Linked DNA regions of Lonchura striata. The protein of the gene in region 3 interacts with the protein of the main gene of each other region in a biochemical or structural test. Links are inferred from orthologs where the notes say so. Each region holds a gene or a part of one and is shown on either strand. Other genes may lie near its edges.

The links.
Region 1: the proteins of RAF1 (region 3) and PEBP4 form a complex in vitro, tested with the Homo sapiens proteins (2 studies listed by BioGRID). The link is inferred for Lonchura striata from reciprocal best matches to the Homo sapiens genes RAF1 and PEBP4.
Region 2: the proteins of RAF1 (region 3) and PHB1 form a complex in vitro, tested with the Homo sapiens proteins (2 studies listed by BioGRID). The link is inferred for Lonchura striata from reciprocal best matches to the Homo sapiens genes RAF1 and PHB1.

The regions. Positions count from the first base shown.
Region 1 is NC_134634.1:3,265,667-3,273,466, reverse strand, and holds the start of PEBP4 (phosphatidylethanolamine-binding protein 4), read right to left. Parts: upstream 3,004-7,800; 5' UTR 2,898-3,003; intron 1-2,897. UniProt on the Homo sapiens protein: Promotes AKT phosphorylation, suggesting a possible role in the PI3K-AKT signaling pathway.
Region 2 is NC_134627.1:7,928,063-7,935,122, forward strand, and holds the start of PHB1 (prohibitin 1), read left to right. Parts: upstream 1-4,057; 5' UTR 4,058-4,097; intron 4,098-4,477; 5' UTR 4,478-4,497; coding exon 4,498-4,585; intron 4,586-4,874; coding exon 4,875-5,036; intron 5,037-5,805; coding exon 5,806-5,948; intron 5,949-6,657; coding exon 6,658-6,774; intron 6,775-7,060.
Region 3 is NC_134614.1:4,706,452-4,714,436, reverse strand, and holds the start of RAF1 (RAF proto-oncogene serine/threonine-protein kinase), read right to left. Parts: upstream 3,018-7,985; 5' UTR 2,694-3,017; intron 1-2,693. UniProt on the Homo sapiens protein: Serine/threonine-protein kinase that acts as a regulatory link between the membrane-associated Ras GTPases and the MAPK/ERK cascade, and this critical regulatory link functions as a switch determining cell fate decisions including proliferation, differentiation, apoptosis, survival and oncogenic transformation.

The DNA of each region.
Region 1 (7,800 bases), on a different chromosome or scaffold from region 3:
GTCAGCCACGGGGACAGCGAGGGTCAGCCCCACAGGGACAGTGAGGGTCAGGCACGGGGACACGGGGACAGCGAGGGTCAGCCCCACGGGGACATGGGGACAGCCCCACGGGGACAGCGAGGGTCAGCCACAGGGACAGCGAGGGTCAGGCACGGGGACACGGGGACAGCCCCACGGGGACATGGGGACAGCCCCATGGGGACAGCGAGGGTCAGCCACAGGGACAGCGAGGGTCAGCCCCACGGGGACACGGGGACAGTCCCACGGGGACACAGGGACAGCGATGGTCAGCCCCACGGGGACATGGGGACAGCCCCACGGGGACAGCGAGGGTCAGCCCCACGAGGACAGCGAGGGTCAGCCACGGGGACACAGGGACAGCCCCATGGGGACACGGGGACAGCCCCACGGGGACAGCGAGGGTCAGCCACAGGGACAGCGAGGGTCAGCCCCACGGGGACACGGGGACAGCCCCACGGGGACATGGGGACAGCCCCATGGGGACACAGGGACAGCCCCACGGGGACACGGCACCAGCTCCAGCCACCGCACCCCGAGCCTTGCCCGGCGGATCAGGCTCCTTTTTGAGCCAGAGATGGGGTAACCGAGAGGCACTTTACAAATTTTTATTCTATATTTACTCTCATGTGAAGGGTGAGGCAATACATATATAATTTAAATTTTATGTGTATTTTTATATACATATATTATATTCATATATAATGTATATATATATATATTCAATTGTTATAATTCACGCCATTACAATCAGAAGCCAACTATTTTTTAATTATAATGCATTATAAGCGTTTTTTTGGCCTATCAGCTTTTGCCACGCCACACTGTCAATGTTTCAAAGTTAATTATAATTACTCCTCATGGGTTTTACTGTAATGCAGCTTTCATAGTGCTACTTCTCTAAAGCATTTAATTTTATTTGTAAGGCCATCCTTTCAAACTTGTTTCTAGTTATATTTCTCTCTCAACAAAGCCTGTCCTGTGGTATTTTTACACCGGTATTTCTTATCTCGAGGTTTGCAAAGAGGTGCAAACCGCTCATTTACCCCACCTCGGAGTCACAAAAAACCCTAATCCAAAAAAAATTGCCCATCACTTCCTCCTGCAGCTCTGTTGTAAATGCAGGGGAACCCAATGGGAAGAAATGGCGATGTGTGACTCAATTCAGAAGGCTGAATGATTTCTTTATTATAACTATGCTAAAATACATTAATATACTCTATAAAAGGAGGATACTAAAACTACAAACTACTTTTTCTGACTCTAACACAACTCATGATCCTCTCTGAGAGTCCAGCCCCTGGTGGGTTGGATTGGCCACCAGCTCAAACAATCCTCACCAGAATCCAACCAAGCACTCACCCCAGGTAAAAAATTCTCTAAATACATTCCACATAGGAAAAACAAGGAGCAGAAATAGAAATCGTTTTCATTTCTCTCCGTGCACCTCTATGAAAAATCCTGAGGGGGAGAGAAACGTGCTTGCCACACAGCTCCACAACTTGAATCCCGTTTATTGTGGGACTGAGCCGTTTCCTCTGAAAATTCAACTTTAATCCCGTTTATTGCACAACTGAGCCGTTTCCTCTGAAAACCCAACTTCAATCCCGTTTATTGCACAACTGAGCCGTTTCCTCTGAAAATCCAACTTCAATCCCGTTTATTGCACAACTGAGCCGTTTCCTCTGAAAATTCAACTTCAATCCCGTTTATTGCACAACTGAACCGTTTCCTCTGAAAACCCAACTTCAATCCCGTTTATTGCGGGACTGAGCCGTTTCCTCTGAAAACCCAACTTCAATCCCGTTTATTGTGGGACTGAGCCGTTTCCTCTGAAAACCCAACTTCAATCCCGTTTATTGCAGGACTGAGCCGTTTCCTCTGAAAACCCAACTTTAATCCTGTTTATTGTGGGACTGAGCCGTTTCCTCTGAAAACCCAACTTCAATCCCGTTTATTGCACAACTGAGCCGTTTCCTCTGAAAACCCAACTTCAATCCCGTTTATTGCACAACTGAACCGTTTCCTCTGAAAACCCAACTTCAATCCCGTTTATTGCACAACTGAGCCGTTTCCTCTGAAAAACCAACTTCAATCCCGTTTATTGCACAACTGAACCGTTTCCTCTGAAAACCCAACTTGAATCCTGTTTATTGCACAACTGAACCGTTTCCTCTGAAAATCCAACTTCAATCCTGTTTATTGCAGGACTGAGCCGTTTCCTCTGAAAATCCAACTTTAATCCCGTTTATTGCGGGACTGAGCCATTTCCTCTGAAAAACCAACTTCAATCCCGTTTATTGCACGACTGAGCCGTTTCCTCTGAAAACCCAACTTCAATCCCGTTTATTCCAGAATTTAGCCGTTTCCTCTGAAAACCCAACTTGAATCCCGTTTATTCCAGAATTTAGCCGTTTCCTGCCGCTCCCCTTCGCCAGGCACCCCCAGCCCAGCTCGCTGGACCCTTTTTTTGTGCTTCCTCCCCCTCCGCGTGGCACCGGGAATGTCCCCACGCGGTGACACCACGCTCCAAACCCAGCTCCGGGAGGGGACAGAATCCCCATCTCCACCTGCTGCTCTCCCAAATGCGACGGAAAACCGGGATCGGGAGCGGTTGTGCTGCGTCCAGCACCACCCCCGAGGACACACGGACCAGCCAGGCCACCGGGACGTGTCCCCGACCCCGGGCAGGGCAACCCCGACCCAGCCGCCGCCTCCAGCGCTTTTCCCACGCCAGGACAGCTCTGGCCACCCCTTTTTAAGCCACAGGAAGCCTCCAGGGGGACGGGGGGACGCGGGGCTGGGTCGCCCACCCATCCCTCGCCATCCCTCGCCTCCTGGCAGAGCCGGTAGCCACGGGCCACCGGAGAGCCACTTACCAAGGTCCTGGGGGCGGCTGAGCAGCTCCGAGGCAGAGCCCGGAGGTTTGAGGTTGCCGTGGAGATGGTTTCCTCGGAAGGAAGGGACAGAGGGACCGGGAATGAGAAGTCAAAGCCCCGGGGAAGGAGCAGAGGCTGCTCCGGACCTGCCAACGGCGTTTTAACCCCCCGGCAACCGCCCCAACCGGCCCGAGCGGCGCCGGGCGCGCTCCTGCCCAGCCCCCGCGCCGCACCGCCGGCTGCTCCGCCGATTCAGGGGCGCTGCGAGCCCGACTTCCATCTGCCCGTCTCGTCCATCCCCTAATGAGCTCCGGGGAAGAGGCACACGCGAGGAAATGAAAGAAAAAGACAGTGAAGAAGAGCCCGGTGTGAGTCTGGCAGCAGCGAGGGGATCATTACATAATGGAGCTGTGGCTGCACGCTCGGAGAACACGAGCGAGCCCGGCGAGGGAAAGAGGCGTCGGGGATTAACTAATTAGAAACATTAATGGATTGGGAATGATCGGGAGCTTTTTAGGGGCTTAATGGCTCCGGTTCCCACGCTGGAGATGGGCACAGCCCCGTAATTAGAGCCCTGAGCCGGCAAATGGGCTCCCGTGAGTCAGGCTTTTCCCAGGAATGCCGGGATGAGTCAAGGTTTGCACCTTCACGGTGTCACACGGACGGGGAGGTTGAAAATTCGGGATCCCCAGCACCGGGCAAAGCTGGAGACCAGCAGAAAATGCCCAGAAATGTGCTCATGGAACGGTGAGAAAGGCAGGAGTTTCCCTGGAGAAACGGGGATGCGGCTGAAAGTTGAACGAGAGGCAGGCAGGGAGTTGGGCACTCGGGTGGAGATGTGGACGAGGAACTCCTGGCAAAACCTGGAATGGTTTGGGATGGAAGGGTCTGGAATTCCATCCAGAGTCACCCCTGCCAGGGCAGGGACACCTCCCGCTGGCCCAGGGGGCTCCAAACTCACCTTGGACATTTCTGGGGGTCCAGGGAGAGCCACAGCTCCTCTGGGAATTCCATCCCAGCCCCTCCTCACCAGGAATTCCTCCCCAGTATCCCACCCAAACCTCCCCTTTTCCCATTGGAAGCCATTCCCTGTGTCCTGTCCCTCCATCCCTCGTCCCCAGTCCCTTTCCCTGCTGAAACGCATCCCACATAAAGCAGACACAGAAATTTCTGAAATTTCAGGGAGCGTCACATCAGGGGTTTTAAAATTCCCACGCACACTTTCAGTGTGTTCCATCTGGGAAAAATCCAGGTTGGACATGGAGAAAGGTGCCTGAAAGTCCTTAAAAAAGGACTTTCCTTCCCAATATCCCACCCAAACCTCCCCTTTTCCCATTGGAAGTCATTCCCTGTGTCCTGTCCCTCCATCCCTTGTCCCCAGTCCCTCTCCCTGCTGAAACGCATCCCACACAAAGCAGACACAGAAATTTCAGGGAGCATCACATCAGGGGTTTTAAAATTTTCAAATTTTTTCCTCTCCAGACCCTTTGCAGTGTTTTGGTTTGTTTTGGGGGTTTTTTTGTGGTTTTTTTTTGGTTTTTTGGGGTTTTTTGTGACCCCTTTGCAGAGCTTCCCCAAACAACACCAAGAACCCAAAATGGGATTAATTCAGAGCAGGGATATTCTTTTTTCCCCCAAGCCCAAAGACAGAGAAAAGCCCTTTGGAGAGCCAAAATCAGCCCCTTCCATCTGGAAACCTCTCACAGATCATCCCAAAAGGGTTTGGCAATGGAAAAGGTGAAGGGGGATCTCCCAGGGATGCTCAGGAAGCAAAACTCATGGGAGCAACAATTTTACATTTTTAAAAATGTAAAATTTTACAAATTTTTCATCTTCCTGTGTAAGATGAGCCGTGACTTCCTCCCTAAAAAAAAAATAAAACAAAGAAAAAAAAAAATGTTTGGGTTTTTTTAAACAAAGATTTTATTTCCTCCACTCAGGAAACAGATTTTAAAGTGCAGCAGGAAACTTGTTCAGCTTTTACCAGGACAAAAAAAATCCATGGGAAAATGCTGCCAGGGCTGGACACCCTCTGCTGTGTGATGCTCCCGAGGGGGTGGGAAACCGCTGGAATATTTAATTTTTAAATTAAATATTAAACCCCTGTGGCTTCCAAACCCAGGCCAAGGTGACCCCAGAGCTGCTGCCTTTGCTGTCCCCGCCACATTCCTGGAAATCCGAGCCCAGGGATGAGCGATTTCCACCGGGATCCTCCTCTCCATCCTCCTGCCCGTGCCTGGAGCTCTCCGGGCTGGGGAGAAGCAGGAAAATCCCTGAGGCTGCACGCAGGAATTTCCCCTCTGGAGAAGGATCCTGCTGCTGGAAAAGGCAGCTTGGGTGACAAACGGAAAGGTAAATTTTAAGGGATTTCGAGATTTTAGAGGAGGTAAGATTTTAGTTAGAGATAAGCCTTACTAGAGTTAATTAAAATAAATGAGTAGGCCTTGATGAAGTTAAGAGTTAGGAGTTAACTAGTAACTGATTGCTCATCAGCACAATGATGAGTTAGCTGGGTTTGTAATGAAGAATATAAATTGATAAATAGCTTTTAGGAACATCAGACAATTGTGGCCTCCTCTGTTCTGAAACCAATTGAAGACAAGGAATGGGAGTTCTACCAAGAGTTCATTTGTCATATTTACATCGAAAAGGTAGAAAGGTCAGTATGAGGGAAAAACTTCATTGACTTCCTCATTTTGGGACCCGTCCCCATGGAAGGGACACCGACCCATTTCAAGGAACAAACCACGCAGGCTGAATAGATTTTGAAATTATTAGCATATGAAGCAGGGAATGGGATGTACCAAAATGATGAATTTGTATTTGTATTTTGGGTATTCAACACTTGGATGGATAAAAGGGCTCTGTAATCACCTGGAAGCTGTGGTGTGGATTTGGGATCCCACACACAATAAACACACACTTTGTAACTTTAAACTGTCAGAGAGTTTTTGTCTGTCACAGTTGGATATTGGTATTAGATCAATATCCAGATTTTTTAAATAAATCACTTTCTAACTCTAAACTGTTAGCGAGTTTTTGTCTGTCACAGCTGGATATTGGTATTAGATCAATATCCATATTTTTTTAATAAATCAAAACCAGCTCCCAGGGAGGGGAAATGATGCCTCAGGTTTGAGCTTTTCTATTTCTCACGTTCTGAGCTGCTTTGGTGCGTGGGTCTGGGCTTCACCCCGGGGGATGCTGAGCTCTGCACAGAGCAGGGAGACAAAACAACTCCTGCTCCAGCTGGGACCGAGGACAATCAGGACAAGTTTAAACAAGGTGGGCTGAAGAGACAAAACAAGGAGGATGGGAATTCACCAGCTAAAGCTGGAATTGGACAATTAACTCCAGCGTGCTGATGGACCAGAACTTCAGAAAAGTGACAGACCCCATGACCTGCCTTCCATTTTGGACCATTTAGACCAAAACTTAATAAAAGTGACAGACCCCATGACCTGCCTTCCATTTTGGGACCATTTGGACCAAAACTGAATAAAAGTGACAGACCCCATGACCTGTCTTCCACTTTGGGACCATTTGGACCAAAACTTCATAAAAGTGACAGACCCCATGACCTGTCTTCCACTTTGGGACCATTTGGACCAAAACTGAATAAAAGTGACAAACCCCATGACCTGTCTTCCATTTTGGGACCATTTAGACCAAAACTGAATAAAAGTGACAGACCCCATGACCTGCCTTCCATTTTGGGACCATTTGGACCAAAACTTAATAAAAGTGACAGACTCCATGACCTGTCTTCCATTTTGGGACCATTTGGACCAAAACTTAATAAAAGTGACAGACCCCGTGACCGGTTGTGCATTTTGGGACCGTTTTGGTCGATTTGGGTGCAGCCCTGGCTGGGCTCTTGTGCTGCCCATGGTGGATGCCTCGAGATAATTTTAATAAATCCCTGCTTTATTATTTTTTTATTCTGTAGCTCTTCCAGCTCTGTTCTAGCTCAGCCTTCCCGGGTTCCTGTCCCGGGCTGTTCCCAGGTTCCCAGTCCTGACTCAGGACTGCAGGAATCTCGTTTTTCCAGCCTGGAAGCCTCTGGCACCATCCTCACATGAGGCTCAGAGCCGAGGGAAGTGCAGGAATTGCCCCCTCATTCCAGCGTGGGATGAGAAACAAAAAAAGATGCTTCCCTGCTGTGAAAAACGCCAATCGCTTGGTTTTTAAAATTTTAAAAGTTTAATAATAATAATAAAATTGTTATAAAAATAATAATACAATTAGAGTAATAAAGTTTAGAGTGAGGACAATTACAAGACAATAAAAAGCAAAGAATTACGGATGTCTGGATGCTCTTGGACACTAAGTCACAAAAATCATGACTTGTGAACAAAGGAATAACCTTAAACCAATACACTTGTTGCATATTCATACATCCTTCATGGTTATGCAGATATTTTATTTAAAACAAGAAACTCTGTCTGTTGTATGTCAACTGTTTCCTTTAATCTCCTGGCAGCTTTGAGTCTGAGCAAGGCCTTGTGAAAAACAATAATCGCTTGGTTTTTAAAATTTTAAAAGTTTAATAATAATAAAATGGTTATAAAAATAATAATACAATTAGAGTAATAAAGTTTAGAGTGAGGACAATTACAAGACAATAAAAAGCAAAGAATTACGGATGTCCGGATGCTCTCAGACACCAAGTCACAAAAATCATGATTTGTGAACAAAGGAATAACCTTAAACCAATACACTTGTTGCATATTCATACATCCTTCATGGTTATGCATACATTTTATTTAAAACAAGAAACTCTGTCTGTTGTATGTCAACTGTTTCCTTTAATCCTCATGGCAGCTTCGAGTCTGAGCAAGGCCTGAAAAAATTATTTTTTTCTGATAAGAAGCCATAAGTTCCTCTCCTTTGGAAGATTTAG
Region 2 (7,060 bases), on a different chromosome or scaffold from region 3:
ACCCGCCGGGGTCACCCGGCCGCGGACGAGCACCTGGGACTAATTGCAGGGAATAAATGAGCAATTAAGGGCGCTAGGGCAGGGCTGGAACATCCCAGACCTCCGGCTGACCCCCGGGCGGTATCCCTGGAAACGGCCGCACCGGGATCGGGATGCTCAGCCCGGCCGGCACCGGCGGCACCGGGGCCCTCCGAGCCCCCCCGGCGGCGGAAGCGGCTCCGGCCCCACCGGCAGCTGGGGCGGCCGCACTGAGGCGCCTTTGTCCGGCACAGGGCTGGGTTTACCCGGGGAGAGAAGGGTTTGTCTTGGAGCAGGCAGGATTTACCCGGGGAGGGCAGGATTTGTCCCGGGGAGGGCAGGATTTATCCCGAGGAGGGCAGGATTTGTCCCGGGGAGGGCAGGATTTGTCCTGGGAGGACAGGATTTGTCTTGGAGGGGGCAGGATTTATCCCGAGGAGGGCAGGATTTATCCCGGGAGGACAGGATTTGTCCCGAGGAAGGCAGGATTTGTCCCCGGGAGGGCAGGAATGGAAGCACCGTTAAGGGCCGGTAGCACCGTGGAGAACCGGGCAGCCCCGGGCGGGCAGAACGGGCCGGTCCCGCTGCCCCCGCGGCGCTGCGGGCACCGCCCAGCCCGGCACGGGGGGCTCCGCTCGGGGCTGCACCCGGGTTATCCCCGCTGGCACCGGGGACGGTCCCGCTGCTCCCCAAAACCTCCGCGATCCTCCCACCCACCCCAAACCTGGCCCGCCCGGGGGTCCCGGTGCCCGCCCGGGGTCCCGGTGCCCGCCCGGGGTCCCGGTGCCCGCCCGGGGTCCCGGTGCCCGCCCGGGGGGATTTTTGGCTCGCCCGGGGCTGGCTGAGCGGAAGGCAGGCTGGCTTTTAAAGCAGATTAATTAAGCTGCACTGCGGGGCCAGAGCTCAGAATGCAAACAGCCGTAATTCGATTTCTCTGACTTGCAAATCGCGGCAGGGAACGCGGCCGAAATCACATTAAGGCCGTTTCCACCCCGAGCCGTGTCCTCGCAGGGCTTTAATGCAGTTTCACTAATTGAATTTCAACGCTTATTGAGCTTAATTCGGGTTTGTGCCGGGCGCGGGGCTGGGCTGGGACCCCCCGGGCTGGGCTGGGACCCCCGGGAAAGGCTGGGCTGAGACCCCCGGGAAGGGCTGGGCTGGGACCCCCAGGAAAGGCTGAGACCCCTGGGACCCCCAGGAAGGGCTGAGACCCCCGGGAAAAGCTGGGACCCCCTGGAAATGCTGGGCTGGGACCCCCCGGGCTGGGCTGGGCTGGGTTGGGACCCCCAGGAAGGGCTGAGACCCCCGGGAAAGGCTGGGCTGGGACCCCGGGGAAGGTTTGGGACCCCCAGGAATAGCTGAGACCCCTGAGACCCCCGGGAAGGGCTGAGACCCCCGGGAAAGGCTGGGCTGGGACCCCGGGGAAGGTTTGGGACCCCCAGGAACGGCTGAGACCCCTGGGCTGGGCTGGGCTGGGACCCCCGGGAAGAGCCGGGACCCCCCCTAAGGACGGGCTGGGTGGGAGTGGGATCAGCGCCAGCCCCACACCGGATTTGGGGTGGAAAAACCCCAAATCCCGCCGCCCCCCCCGGGCGTGGCCGCGGCCCGGAGTCCCCGCGGGTCCCCCCGGCCCCGGGGCCGCCCCGGCGCGTTCGTGCCGCGGGGATTTGGGAGCGGCGGAGGCGAAGAGGAGGCGCTTTGTTCCCAGCCCGGGGGACAATGAGCCCTTCTTGGCCCGACGGAAATCCCCAAAACCGGAGCGGCCCGGGAAGGGCCGGGAGGGGCCCCGCGCGGCTCTGGGCCGCGGTTCTGTGCCACCCCCCAAAAACGGGGTTCTGGAGCTGTTTTGGGGTGCGGTTCTGTGCCACCACCCAAAAACGGGGTTCTGGAGCTGGTTTGGGGGTGCGGTTCTGCTGCCACCCCCCAAAAACGGGGTTCTGGAGCTGGTTTGGGGTGCGGTTCTGTGCCACCACCCAAAAACGGGGTTCTGGAGCTGTTTTGGGGTGCGGTTCTGTGCCACCCCCCAAAAATGGGGTTCTGGAGCTGTTTTGGGGTGCGGTTCTGTGCCACCACCCAAAAACGGGGTTCTGAAGCTGTTTTGGGGTGCGGTTCTGTGCCACCACCCAAAAATGGGGTTCTGGAGCTGTTTTGGGGTGCGGTTCTGTGCCACCACCCAAAAAAGGGGTTCTGGAGCTGTTTTGGGGTTCGGTTCTGCTGCCACCACCCAAAAATGGGGTTCTGGCTGAGTTCTGGGGTTCGGTTCTGCTGCCACCACCCAAAATTGGGGTTATGGCTCAGTTCTGGGGTGCGGTTCTGTGCCACCACCCAAAAATGTGGTTCCGGAGCTGTTTTGAAGGTGCAATCCCACAGCCAGCCCCTAAAAAAGCAATCCCAGCCCAATTTTGGGGTGCAACCCCAAGAACGCACTCTCAGCTCAATTTTGGGGGCCTCTATGTCCCCCTGGCCCTTCCTGGGAATCTCCAGCCCCTCGCAGCTGGGAACGGGAATGGGGAGAGCTCATCCCACTTGGGAACGGGAATGTGGGAATGGGAATGTGGGAATGGGAATGTGGGAATGAGAAATGGGAATGGGAATGTGGGAATGGGAATGGGGAAATGGGAATGGGAATGTGGGAACGGGAATGGGAATGGGAACGGGAACGGCAACGGGAATGGGAATGGAAATGTGGGAATGGGGAGAGCTCATCCCGCATGGGAATGGGAACGGGAATGGGAATGGGAACAGGAGTAGGAAAAGGAATGGGAATGGGAATAGAAACGGGAATGAGCAACACGACCCCGGCAGGAACGAGGACGCTGCAAATCCCGAGCCGTAAATCCCAGATTTAATGGGATTTCCCCGCTGGATCCAGCGGGGTCACCTGGCAGCGGAACCCGCCGCGGGCGCGGGGGCGGCGTGGGGATTTTTTCCTCTTTTTTCCCTCTTTTTTCCCCGTTTTTCGGGATTCCCGGAGCCAAAGGGAGAGCGCTGCTTCCCTCTAGCGGCCCCGGGACAGGAGGGGACCGGAGCGGGAACGGCCCCGGGACAAGGGGGGACAGCGAATCCCGGGGTCCGCGGCTCCAGGAGCTGCTGGGAAGGGCCCGAGGGAGGCCACGGGAATGATTTGGGGTCTGGAAAACCTCGGGCGAGCGGAGAGAGGGAAGGGTAGACCGGAGGAGGGAAGGCTGAGAGCAGGAATATCCCACATTTCTGTGGAAATATGTGAAATATCCATAGAAATCTGTCACTGCAGAGGGGATCCCGTCACTGCATGAAAACACCTCAGATATCCATGGAAATATGTCAAATATCCACGGGAATATCGCAAATATCCACGGAAATCTGCGACTGGAGAGATTCCCACCAACACATGGAAATATCTCAGATATCTGTGGAAATCTCTCATTTTGGGAAAGGGATCCCACCAATGCCTGGAAATATCTCAGATATCCGTGGAAATCTCTCATTTTGGGAAATATCTCAGATATCCGTGGAAATCTTTCATTTTGGGAAAGGGATCCCACCAATGCCTGGAAATATCTCAGATATGCATGGAAATCTCTCATTTTGGAAATGGGATCCCACCAACGGATGGAAATATCTCAGATGGCCAGAAGTGAACCCCAAGTCCCCCTCGGCAGGAGGCGGAGCTGGCCCCGAGGGTGGCCGGGACCGGTGACCAGGAAGGGCCGGGGGACATTCCGACCCCGCGGGGACCCTGCCTGGGCAGGTGGCCCTGCCCGGGTGACCTCGGGGGTCCCTGCCCAGCTGCTCTGGCGTTCCGGGGCGGGCAGCGCTGTCCCCGCCCGTGTCCCCCGCCGGTCCCCACGAGCCCCCCAAGCGCCTTCCCCCGCCAGGACTACACCTCCCAAGAGGCAGCGCGCCGCTCCGGCCAATAGCGCGCGGCCTTGCTCAGCCAGCGGGGCACAGCGGAGCCGATAGGCCGGGCGGCAGCGGGCGCGGCAGAGAGAACTACATATCCCAGAGAGCCCCGGGGGGCGCGGGCCAATGAGGAGGGCGCGTCTTGGCGCGGCGCGCAGGCGCGCTGGGCAGGGGGGCGGCGGCGGATTCATGTGGAGGTCAGCGGCGCGGCGGGAGCGGCGGGCGGGGGGCGGCGGTGGGTCCGGGACCGGGAACCGGGAATCGGGAACCGGGCACACAGCCAGGCCTTGCCCCCTGGCGGGCCCCTGCTGCGGGCGAGCGGCCTAGGAGGGAGCGGGCAGGGGGAGGCCTGGGGGGTGCGGGGGGCCCCGGGGGCGGCGGGACCGAACCCGGGGAGGGAGATGGGAGGGAGACCCCCAGGGATGGGGGGACCCCCGGGATGGGGAGAGACCCGGGAATGGGGGGGACCCCCGGGGCTGGGGAGACTCACAGGGCCGAGGAGACCCCTGGGGCTGGGGGGGGACTCTTGGGGCTGGGGAGACCCCCGGGCAGGGCTGAGCGCTGCGGGGCGTCGCAGGCGGGCTCTGGAGCGGTGAGATGGCTGCCAAGGTGTTCGAGAGCATCGGGAAGCTCGGGCTGGGCTTGGCCGTGGCGGGGGGAGTCGTGAACTCGGCGCTTTACAACGGTGAGTGGGGCTGGGTGAGTGGGATGGACTCAGTGAGTGGGACTCGGTGAGTGGGACTCGGTGAGTGCCCCGGGTCTGTGTTTCTGCCCCAATCCTGTTTTCCCCGTGCTTTATCACCCGATAAATCCACACCGAGTCCATGCAGTGCCGCGGGAGCTCCTTCCTCCCAAAGCCTCGGAGCTGCCCCGGGGGCCCCACAGCTCCGCCCGCAGCTCCTCCGGCCTGGGTTGATTAACTCCGCCGTTAATTTCCCGCCGTGCCGCTAATTGCGCGCTCTCTCCCCCCGCAGTGGACGCGGGGCACAGGGCCGTGATCTTCGACCGCTTCCGCGGCGTGCAGGACGCCGTGGTGGGCGAGGGCACGCACTTCCTCATCCCCTGGGTGCAGAAACCCATCATCTTCGACTGCCGCTCGCGGCCCCGCAACGTCCCCGTCATCACCGGCAGCAAAGGTGGGTGCAGGCGCCCTGGGGTGCCCAGGGGTGTCCAGGGCCACACAGGGGCACCCAGGGGTGTCCAGATGCACCCCGGAGCTCCCAGGGGCACACAGGGGTGTCCAGAGGTCTCCAGGGGCATCCAGGGGCACCCAGAGGTGTCCAGGGGCACCCAGGGGTGTCCAGGGGTGTTGTTGTTGAAGCAGGACGGGAATGAAGAGACTCTGACTAGATCAGAAGGCTGTGAGAGTGAAACTCTGATTTATTTAAAATACACTGTTTGTGAGGACTAAATCTATTGGTTGGGAGGGGTCCCTGGAGCTCACCTGGCCCAGGTGACACTGGTGGGGTTTGGGAGGGATCCCTGGAGTTCACCTGGGGTTTGGGAGGGGTCCCTGGAGCTCACTTGGCCCAGGTGACACTGGTGGGGTTTGGGAGGGGTCCCTGGAGCTCACCTGGGGTTTGGGAGGGGTCCCTGGAGCTCACTGGGGTTGGGAGGGGTCCCTGGAGCTCACCTGGCCCAAGTGACACTGGTGGGGTTTGGGAGGGATCCCTGGAGCTCACCTGGGGTTTGGGAGGGATCCCTGGAGCTCACCTGGGGTTTGGGAGGGGTCCCTGGAGCTCACCTGGCCCAGGTGAGGTGGCGGGGCTGGAATTCTCCCCGCAGCAGCGCCGGGCAGGCCGGGGGGGATCGGGGATCCTCGGCAGCTCGTGCTGCTGCCGGAGCGGGGCCGGGGGCGCCGGGGGAGCCCGGCCCCGCTCCCGAGGCGCCGCTGCCGCTCCGCAGACCTGCAGAACGTCAACATCACCCTGCGCATCCTGTTCCGGCCCGTCACGGCGCAGCTGCCGCGCATCTTCACCAGCATCGGCGAGGACTACGACGAGCGCGTGCTGCCCTCCATCACCACCGAGATCCTCAAGTCCGTGGTGGTGAGCGCCCGCGCTGCCCCGGCGCTCCTGGCAGCGTGCTCTCTCCTGGTGCCTCCCATTCCATCCTGTTCCCAGCAGTGTCCGTCCCATTCCATCCCATTCCCAGCAGTTTCCCTCCTGTGCCCAGCAGTTTCCATCCCATTCCATCCCATTCCTAGCAGTTTCCCTCATGTTCCCAGCAGTTTCCATCCCATTCCCTCCTTTTCCCTCCTGTTTCCTCTGTTCCATCCCATTCCCAGTAATTTCCCTCTGGTTTCATCCCATTCCCGGGGGTGCCCATCCCATTCCCAGGAGTGCCCATCCCATTCCCGGGGGTGCCCATCCCATTCCCAGCGGTTTCCATCCCATTCCCGGGGGTTCCCATCCCATTCCCGGGGGTGCCCATCCCATTCCCAGCAGTTTCCATCCTATTCCCAGGGGTTCCCATCCCATTCCCGGGGGTGCCCATCCCATTCCCAGCGGTTTCCATCCCATTCCCGGGGGTGCCCATCCCATTCCCGGAGGTGCCCATCCCATTCCCAGGAGTGCCCATCCCATTCCCAGGGGTGCCCATCCCGTTCCCAGCGGTTTCCATCCCATTCCCAGTGGTTTCCATCTTGTTCCTGGGGGTGCCCATCCTATTCCCAGGGGTTCCCATCCCATTCCCGGGGGTGCCCATCCCATTCCCAGCGGTTTCCATCCCATTCCCTCCGTCCCTCCGTGCCCCCAGGCGCGCTTCGACGCGGGCGAGCTGATCACGCAGCGGGAGCTGGTGTCCAGGCAGGTCAGCGAGGACCTGACGGAGCGCGCGGCCACCTTCGGGCTCATCCTGGACGACGTGTCCCTGGTGAGCCCCGCCGGACGCTCGGACACTCGGACGCTCGGACACGCGGCTCTGCCGCTGCCCCGTCACTCGGGCAGCCCCCGGTGCCTCAGCCCTGCCGTGCTGGGATCTGTCACCCCACAGGAGCTGCTTTGGGATGGGGCAGCAGCTCCACAGGCACCCCTGGAAGCACCAGGAGGGGAAATTCCCACTGGTTCCGCCGCTAAGATATCCAAGGAGGGAGCTCTGCCCTCCCAGCTCCCCTAGAATTAAAACTGATCCCACTGGGAGCGCAGCCTGTGCGGGAGGT
Region 3 (7,985 bases):
TCTTGCTCCAAATTTCATACATATTTGACACATGAGTCAAGGCCTCAAGAAGAATTAATTTTCTAAAGGTTCTTGGAAGTCAGCAACTGAAGACAGAAAAAGGAACCATGTTCATACCTCAACTGAAGGAGAGAAAGAATTGAGGCACCAAATATTCCTGTTTATGCAGCAGGCTGCTCAGTGCCCATGTACCTGAGGCTGAATTAGCCCCAGTACGTGAGGGGCTTACCCTCTAAAATGAGAACCACAGTTAAGATATCCTTTTCTATAAATTTTAAAAAATAATTATAATTATATATATATAATTATATAATGATTGATATATATTTATCCTTATATATAAATATATATAGTTATACTTATAGCAGAGGTGCTTTAGGGATGAGACCATATAAATCTGTGGTGAAACTGCTTTAGTCTTGCTGTTTGTAGAGCAATGGGTTTTAGGGATTTTTTTTCCCCTTGAAATCTGCTCTGACATTCAGAACACAGTAAGCTCAGTCTCCTTGTTCTTTAAAAAAGCCATGGAATACTTGACAAACTGTGCCAAAGAGGAAGCACAAAGTCATTAAAACACTGGGAAATATCCACAACGTGCTGGTCCTTGGCTATTTCACTCTGGAATGAATGGGCACGGGTGGGGAATCACCTCTGATCCACCTCTCTCAGCTCACTTGGATTTCCCCAGGTTGCCAGGAATGAGTGGAGCTGCTCAAGTGCAATCTCTCGTCTCTGATTTTGCTGAGGAATAATAACAATGCAGTGATATAACTGCAGGAAGCTGTCCAAAATCATAAAATACCTCACTTTCCCCCCCACCTCATATCTGTGTCATTCCCTTTCCATTTGTTGTTCACAGCCTGAATTCCTCAGATAACTTCGCTGCAGACTTGAGCTTTACTGCAGATATGGAAAACTGCCTGGAAGTTCTGCTCCTTGGTTGTTCTGGCTGTTTTCCAGCCTCAGCAATATTCAAGATGCAACACATCCAACTTTCACCAGCAATCATTCTATAAAATACAGCCAAAAATAAAAGATCCCATACAAAATTAGCTGCTACCTTAATTAATGACTACAGGAAGAAGTAAAATGAGCCTGGCCCAGGTCTTTGGAGGGCTAATTCTAATTCTGCTGGAGAGTGAGGTGAGCCTAAAATACACCAGTGCAGGGCTAATCTTGAGGTCAGTAGGCATTGCAGATTTTCAGGGAATAGTGGGGTTTTCCAATCCAAAACCAGAGGATGTTGGTAGCTCTGACTGCACCCTGGGCACACACTGAAGCTCTTCCCAGCACCTGCTGCTAGAAAATGAATGTGGGGACACCTGAGCTGTATCAGGCAACTCTTTTAACAAAAACTAAGCTGATTTCTGGGAAACTGAGCTTGGACCAGGAGGAGAAGTCCTGAATAAGGAGTGGAGCTGCACGAGGCACACAGGAACAGGTTTGGAGCTGCCTGAGGACGTGACACACATCACACACTGCACACCCAGTGATGGGATAACCCTGCCCAAGGGATGCACAGGGGGATCTGGGGTGCCTGTGCAGGGCCAGGGGTTGGGCTGGATCATCTGTGGGTCCCTCCTGGCTCAGATATTCCATGATCCCATTAAAAACCCCTGTGCTGCTCCAAACACCCAAACAAAGTTGGCAGGAGTCACCTCCAGCTCCCTTCAGAAGGAGCTGCTGTTCTTAAGGGGAAGAACCAAAGCAAATCTCCAAAATGCACACCAGGGCAAGGTGCTGGCCCCACTGCTCAGCCCTGCAGGGGCCTCTGCAGCAGTGCAGGCTTTGCAGCAGTGCAGGTTTTGCAGCAGTGCAGGCTTTGCAGCAGTGCAGGCTTTGCAGCCCCTGAGCAGCACAGCCAGGCTGAGCTCTCCCTGTGGAGCAGCAGAACCAGATGGTCTTAGAGGTCTTCTCCATTCTGTGCTCCTGTTCATCCTGATCTAGCTCATTCTGTGCTCCTGTGATTCCCAGCACTCCCAAAACCCTGGAGAGAGGCAGGATTAAACTGTGGCACACTTGGAAAACCCAGGCCTTTGCACACATTAATCTCAGCCATCGTTTGGAAACTTCTGACCCACATGCAAGGAGCTCCAGGGGCAGATGGAGCCCTGCACTGCATGGATATAATCCATTGTTATGCAAACACACAGCTGCTTTTTAACCTCACTTTCACACTCCTGGTGGGTTTAGTTTCACAGCACCCAAAAAGGAGGCAGAGATAAAGCCTCCTGCAAAGAGGCTTCGATTAAATCTGGAAAGGGTTTTTGCAGACGGGTCAAAGGCAAGCAGTCTGCCGACCTGAAATGGAGCTGTGCTGCTCCAGGAAAGGGCAGGCACACTTCAAAATACAACTTTGTACCTGGTAAACATTAATCTCTGTATCTATTTAATATTTAAATAGAAAATGACAGTTTCAAAGATTATTAGATTATGATCTGTGCTCAGAAATTGTGGAAATTTCCACCAAAACCTTCATACAAAATTCATAAACCTCCCCTTAGAAATAGCACTGGGGCTTTTCCATCTGATTGCAGACTAATTAATTTAGCCTTTGGAAGCAGGTTTGGTAAGTATTTAATCCCGACCCTTTGGCCTGGATTCACAGATCCACTGTTAACCTCCCAGACAAGTAAAGGTGCTGCAAAAGCTGTGAAAACCCCGTTCCCCCCTTCGGCCCACTCAGGACTCACCAGAGCCGTGTTCCCACACCCAGCACCATCCGAGGGTTTGGATCCAGGGCAATCCCAAGGCTGGGACTTCTGGGAGCTCTCAGGGCCAGCAGGGACACCAGGGATGGTTCTGCTTCCCAAAAGGCTCCAAAGCCTCCTTTGTGTGAGCACAAATACCTGGAGCCAGGGGCTGAGCCCCGCAGGGTCACACGGGTGACAGGGCTAAAAACAGGCAAACCCAGAGGCTTAATTTAAAGTGCCCCAAAATGTTGGTGCTGTCCCCCCAGGGCTGCTCCTGCGCCTCTCCAGCTTTTCCTACAGCTTTCCTGGAATTTTAACATCCCTCTCTCTTCGGGGTTTGTGCTTTGGATTCTTTTATTTTTAGCTGCAGTGGTCTGCAGAGCCCGCCTGACGCCAGCAAATGTAACTGGAGCCGGGTCCCTGCGAGCCAGGAATTGCAGCCACCATCAGCACAGAGCTGGCACTGGGCAGAACCTGGGAGCCCCACTCCTGAATTTGTCCCCTGCCTTGGGAAAGCAGCGGGGGGACTGCATCAGACGGGTTAGGGGCGAGCAAATAGACATCAAAGATGCAAGGAGGTCTGTCCCACAGCAGATCCGTGTTAAATGGCTTCAGTGTGAGCAGGAGTTTACAGGAAAAGCCAAGCTTTCCCCTGCACTAACCCTGGCACGGGGCAGGCGTGCACAGAGCAGGCTAGGCTGCCTTTGGAAAGGGCTGCTGGCAGAGTGGGTAAATCAGAAGAGGCCACTGCTGACAGCCACCTCCCTCCCAGGGCACACATCCCAGGCCACGGTGGCTCCTTTTACACACACAAAACTGCAGCCCCAGGTCTGCTCCTGATCAATAAGGACCACATCTCCTACCCAGCTGCCAGGTTTTTACCTTTCCTCTCCATGCTGCACAACTGGAATAAATCTGGCTGAATCACCTTACCTGAACTCACCTCTTAGCTCTCTGTTCTGGTCCTGTAGCAGAGAAGCAAGTGAAGGGTTGCCAACTTACCTGATGGAGAAATTGTTCATCCTGACTATTCCAGGATCTGTAACCACAGCAACGTGTCTACAACAAAGTGTGATTGCTCCAAGGAAGGAAAATAGGAGTGTGGGGAGGCTTTCAGCCCCAGAGGTGAGAGGAGGAGCCAGCAGCAGAGCTGGGCTGCAGCAGAGGGCTCAGCCTGCCCATCCGGGGAGTGATGCTCCAAAAGCTGGGAATGCTCCCTCCTGCCCTCTGCAGCACTGTGCTGTGTGTCCTGGCAGGGCTCAGGCTTTGTTGGCAGGAAAGAGGAGAAATCAAGGCAAACAGAGAGCACTGCGCTTGCCATGGAGCAGGGAGAGCACGGAGCTCACATGGGGAGGCAGGAATGCTGGGCTGCCAGGATGGATTTCCTGGAGATCCAGAGTGTGTATGACACTGACAGCACCTGAAAATCACTTTTTTACAAGGCAGCTTCTCTGTCCTTTCACAAGGAACAAATGCAGAGCAAAACAAGTTGAAGACAGAGATGTCACCAGAGCAACTGTGACCCGTCAGTTTTCTCCACCCCATGAAGTTGATAAATACACCTTTTATTCCTGGCATATTTAAAGCTGGTTTGGGCAAATTAAGTAACCTGAGCATGTTTCCTTGGCAAAGATGGCATTATTTCACATTTGCTCACCTAGCTGGGAGCAGCCCTGCCAGCTGTCCCTGGTGCCACCTCACAGAGGGGCAGGAGGTGCTCTGCCTGCACTGCCCTGCTGGGGCACACACTGGGAAGGGACCAGCAAAACACACCTCAGGCACCCTCCAGTGTCCTCATCCTCTCGCTTTTCAGATGCTCTTCAGATCACATCTCCTCCTGGTTCTCCTGGTCCTTCTCATTCCTGATGAACCCTTCATTTTCTTTATCCAAGTCAGCAGCCTCCTAAAAGGAACCACAAGAAAAGAGACATTATTTACCCTCAGTGCTGCACAGCAGAGTCCAGGAGCTGCTGTTCCCCCTGTGATGCTGCAGTGTCTCATCACATCAAGCACAGCTGAAGTGGAAAACTTGCTCGTCTTTCATGTTGATGCAAATTTTCCATAGAATTGTTCTTCTCATACAGATTTTTCCTGAAGTGACCCCAAGCCTCACTTTCTCTTCCTGCTGCTGGCTGGCAGCCTGAGACACCTCCTTGAAAGTGCTTCAGATTCAGGCTCAATGATGAGCCAAAAATTGACAATTTGCCCATGCCCCACTGCCTTGGTCTATATTTTTTTTTAAGGGGTAGAAGAGTAATTGTGATTTGTTAAGGGGATTTCTGATCTGCTCTTTAATTTTTCTGGTTTCTGACATTCTGGGTGCACAGACTCTGCCAGGGACTGTGAGCTGACCCAGCAGCTGGCAGAGAGCTCTGGAATGCTACAACTGCCTCAGAAATCTCTCAGCTTGGTCCACAGGGCTCGAAGGAGGGGGTCAAGGCAGAAAATCCAGTGATTGCTGAGACTGGGCTGGTCCCTGGGCAAGTGGGAGCAGCTCTGGACTCTCCAGCACCAGGGAGGTGAGCACAACCCTGCCCAGCTTGGCCCGGGCACTGCCAGGGTTCCAGGGGCAGCCACAGCTCTGGGCACCTGTGCCAGGGCTGTCCACCCTCACAGCCAAGAGTTTTTTTCCTAATATCCAGTCTTAACCTGCTCCCTTTCCATCTGAAGCCATTCTCCTAGTCCTGTCCCTGCTGGCCCTGGTAAATAATCCTGCCCTGGGACACTACAGTGTCCCACAGTTTGGGACACCCAAAGCTTCTCCTGCCCAGGCTGAGCAGCCCCAGGCCCTGCAGGCTCTCCTCAAGCACAGCTGCTCCAGCCCTCTGATCAGCCTGGTGGCCTCCTCTGGACTGGCCCCAAAGCAGATCTGAGCAGCAGAACAGAAAATATGGGACACCACACTGCCCTGCTTGGGAAGAAAATCCCATCAGAGTATTCCATGAGTAATTCCATGTATGGTCACAATACAATCCCTCTAAAGCTGAGACCTAAAGCATGGTGAGGGTGGGATTTATAATAACCTATTTAATAATTTTTATGAATTTCCTTGCTAAAAGTGATGCTAAGTGTGCTCTGTGTTTGCAGAGAGCTCTCTCTGCATGTGCAGGGCAGTGCTTTGGGGTGAAGGATGGTGCAGAAGTGTTTGTGCTGGGCAGGGGAAGCAGGCAGATGCTCCAGGATGGGCACAGGGCAGCCTGGGGCAGTGGTGGAGCTGGTGCTGGAGCACAGAGTTGCCACTTCTGTCAAGCTTCACTCAGTCACTTTTTGCCTTTCTCTCAGCAAGAAGCACAGATGAGGGAGTCCCTGAGTGCAGGACACACAAGAAGACTTAAGCTCTGTGGGAATCCAGAGCTTCCTTCTGGCTGCCCTGGCAGGTCTGGGACCCCGGCAGGGGTCAGGAACCCCCTGGACAGAGCCCCCAGAGACACTGGCTGTGATTTCTGTCCATGGAAAAGAGTTTTCAGTCTTACAGAATGAATTACCAGCTCTGAGGGTTTGATATCAGTAATAATTAAGTGTGGCATGGGTGCAAAAGTAAAATTTTAGGATTCTAGATGAGGGGTCCAAAGGGGACAAGATGGAGGAAATTGGGTGTGCCTTGTCCTTTTTCTCCTTCTTCATGCCCTCCATGTCTCACTGTGGTGTTGGCATTTTTCTGTTGGTTCAGGCTGGGGACACACTGTCCAACGTAGGTGACAGATATTGGCACGTTATTGTAAATGCAGCCCAGGGAGTTTCTGGTATTTAATGTTTGTCACATCCCACTGAGGGCAGAGCCCCACACGCTGCCCTGCAGGACAGAGCTGGGCAGGGCAGCAGAACATGTGAGAGATCAACAGAATAAACAACCTGGAAACCAGCACAGACCAATTATGGCTTCTGCTTTGGCAGGGGGCTGACAGACAGAGACTTTCTACAATCTTGGGATCATCAATATCAGATTCCGACAAAGCTCCTGCCCTGTAAATATTTGTACAGCAGACAGTGAGCCCTGTGCATCAGGGGAAACAGAAATTCTGCTCTGTTCTCCAGAGCAAGGGCAATTTATTCAAACCCTAATCTGTGTAGCTGCCACCAAAACCCAGCTTATTTACAACCAATCTCTAGAAAGAAATTGTTTCCTACCTGCCCTGGCATGTCCTTGCAGGCACCTTGCTCCTTGCTCTGTTGATTTATTATTTCTTCTTTTGGAAATGGTAAAAAAACATTAATCTGGGAATCTGTACTGGGCAGAAGGCAGGGTTGAAGCCCAATTATACTGAGATCGTTGTGGAAGGCATGGATAATTCAAGTTCAAACCCAAAGGTTTTTATTCAGTGCTGTAACTTCAGAGAGAGCAATTTTAGCTATGTTTTTAGCAGGAATTAGCGTATCCACACAGTCTGATCTGCAGTACCTGCATTTGGGGTCTCTCAAGGAAGAAGTGGACTCTCACCTTTAATTTAAGTTACTTTATGGAAGGTCTTGTCTCTTTTGTTGAGTAGAGAGTGTGCCAGGATAAGCAGAGCTAAACCATTTTACATTAATTCCTTCAACAGGAGGAATCTGTGATCTCCTCTCTCTTGTTCCACTGGGAGAGGAAAATTGCTCCTCTCTCAAATGCTGGCCAGATGCAGCTCTCGGAGCTGCTTTGCTCAATCCATGTTTTCACTGACACTTTTCACATGCAGCTCCAGCCCTCAGCTGACAATGTCCCTGTCACTTGTGCCATCAGCCAAAATGCTCCAATAGCTACTTTCTTTAGTGTTTCCTTAAATAGGGCAAGAAGTGCACCCCTCATTTCTTATGTATCAGGGTCTGGACATTTCCATAAACTGAACATTCATTAATAATATGCACTTTGTACTAGCTTTGACCTATTCTTTTTGTGTGTGTGCAGGAAAATTACCTGAATTAGTTCACTGATGAAAAAGAATTCTTCATACAAAGAATATTTTCAAGGAGCTCAGGTTCCTATTAATATCACTCTGTTACTGACTTGGACGTGCTTCTTGAGTGTTGTTCCAGTGTTTTTACCTGGCTTCTTTCTGGTTTGGGGTCTGATTTCTGGTTGTTTGTACCGCTCAGAGGGAGGCCAGTGCTTTTAGAAATGCAGGTACCCACCTGGATGCCTGCAGCAAACCAGAATGCTGCCTGCAGTTAAGGATGTCACTGTTAAAATAAGCAAATAAATTCATTTTAGATTACTTATTACAGCGCTTAAAGAAGTATTTTTTTTTTATCAGAATCAAAGCAGGCCACCCTACCTGGTCTCTTTTTACATCTCTTATTTTCTGGTCAACTTAACAG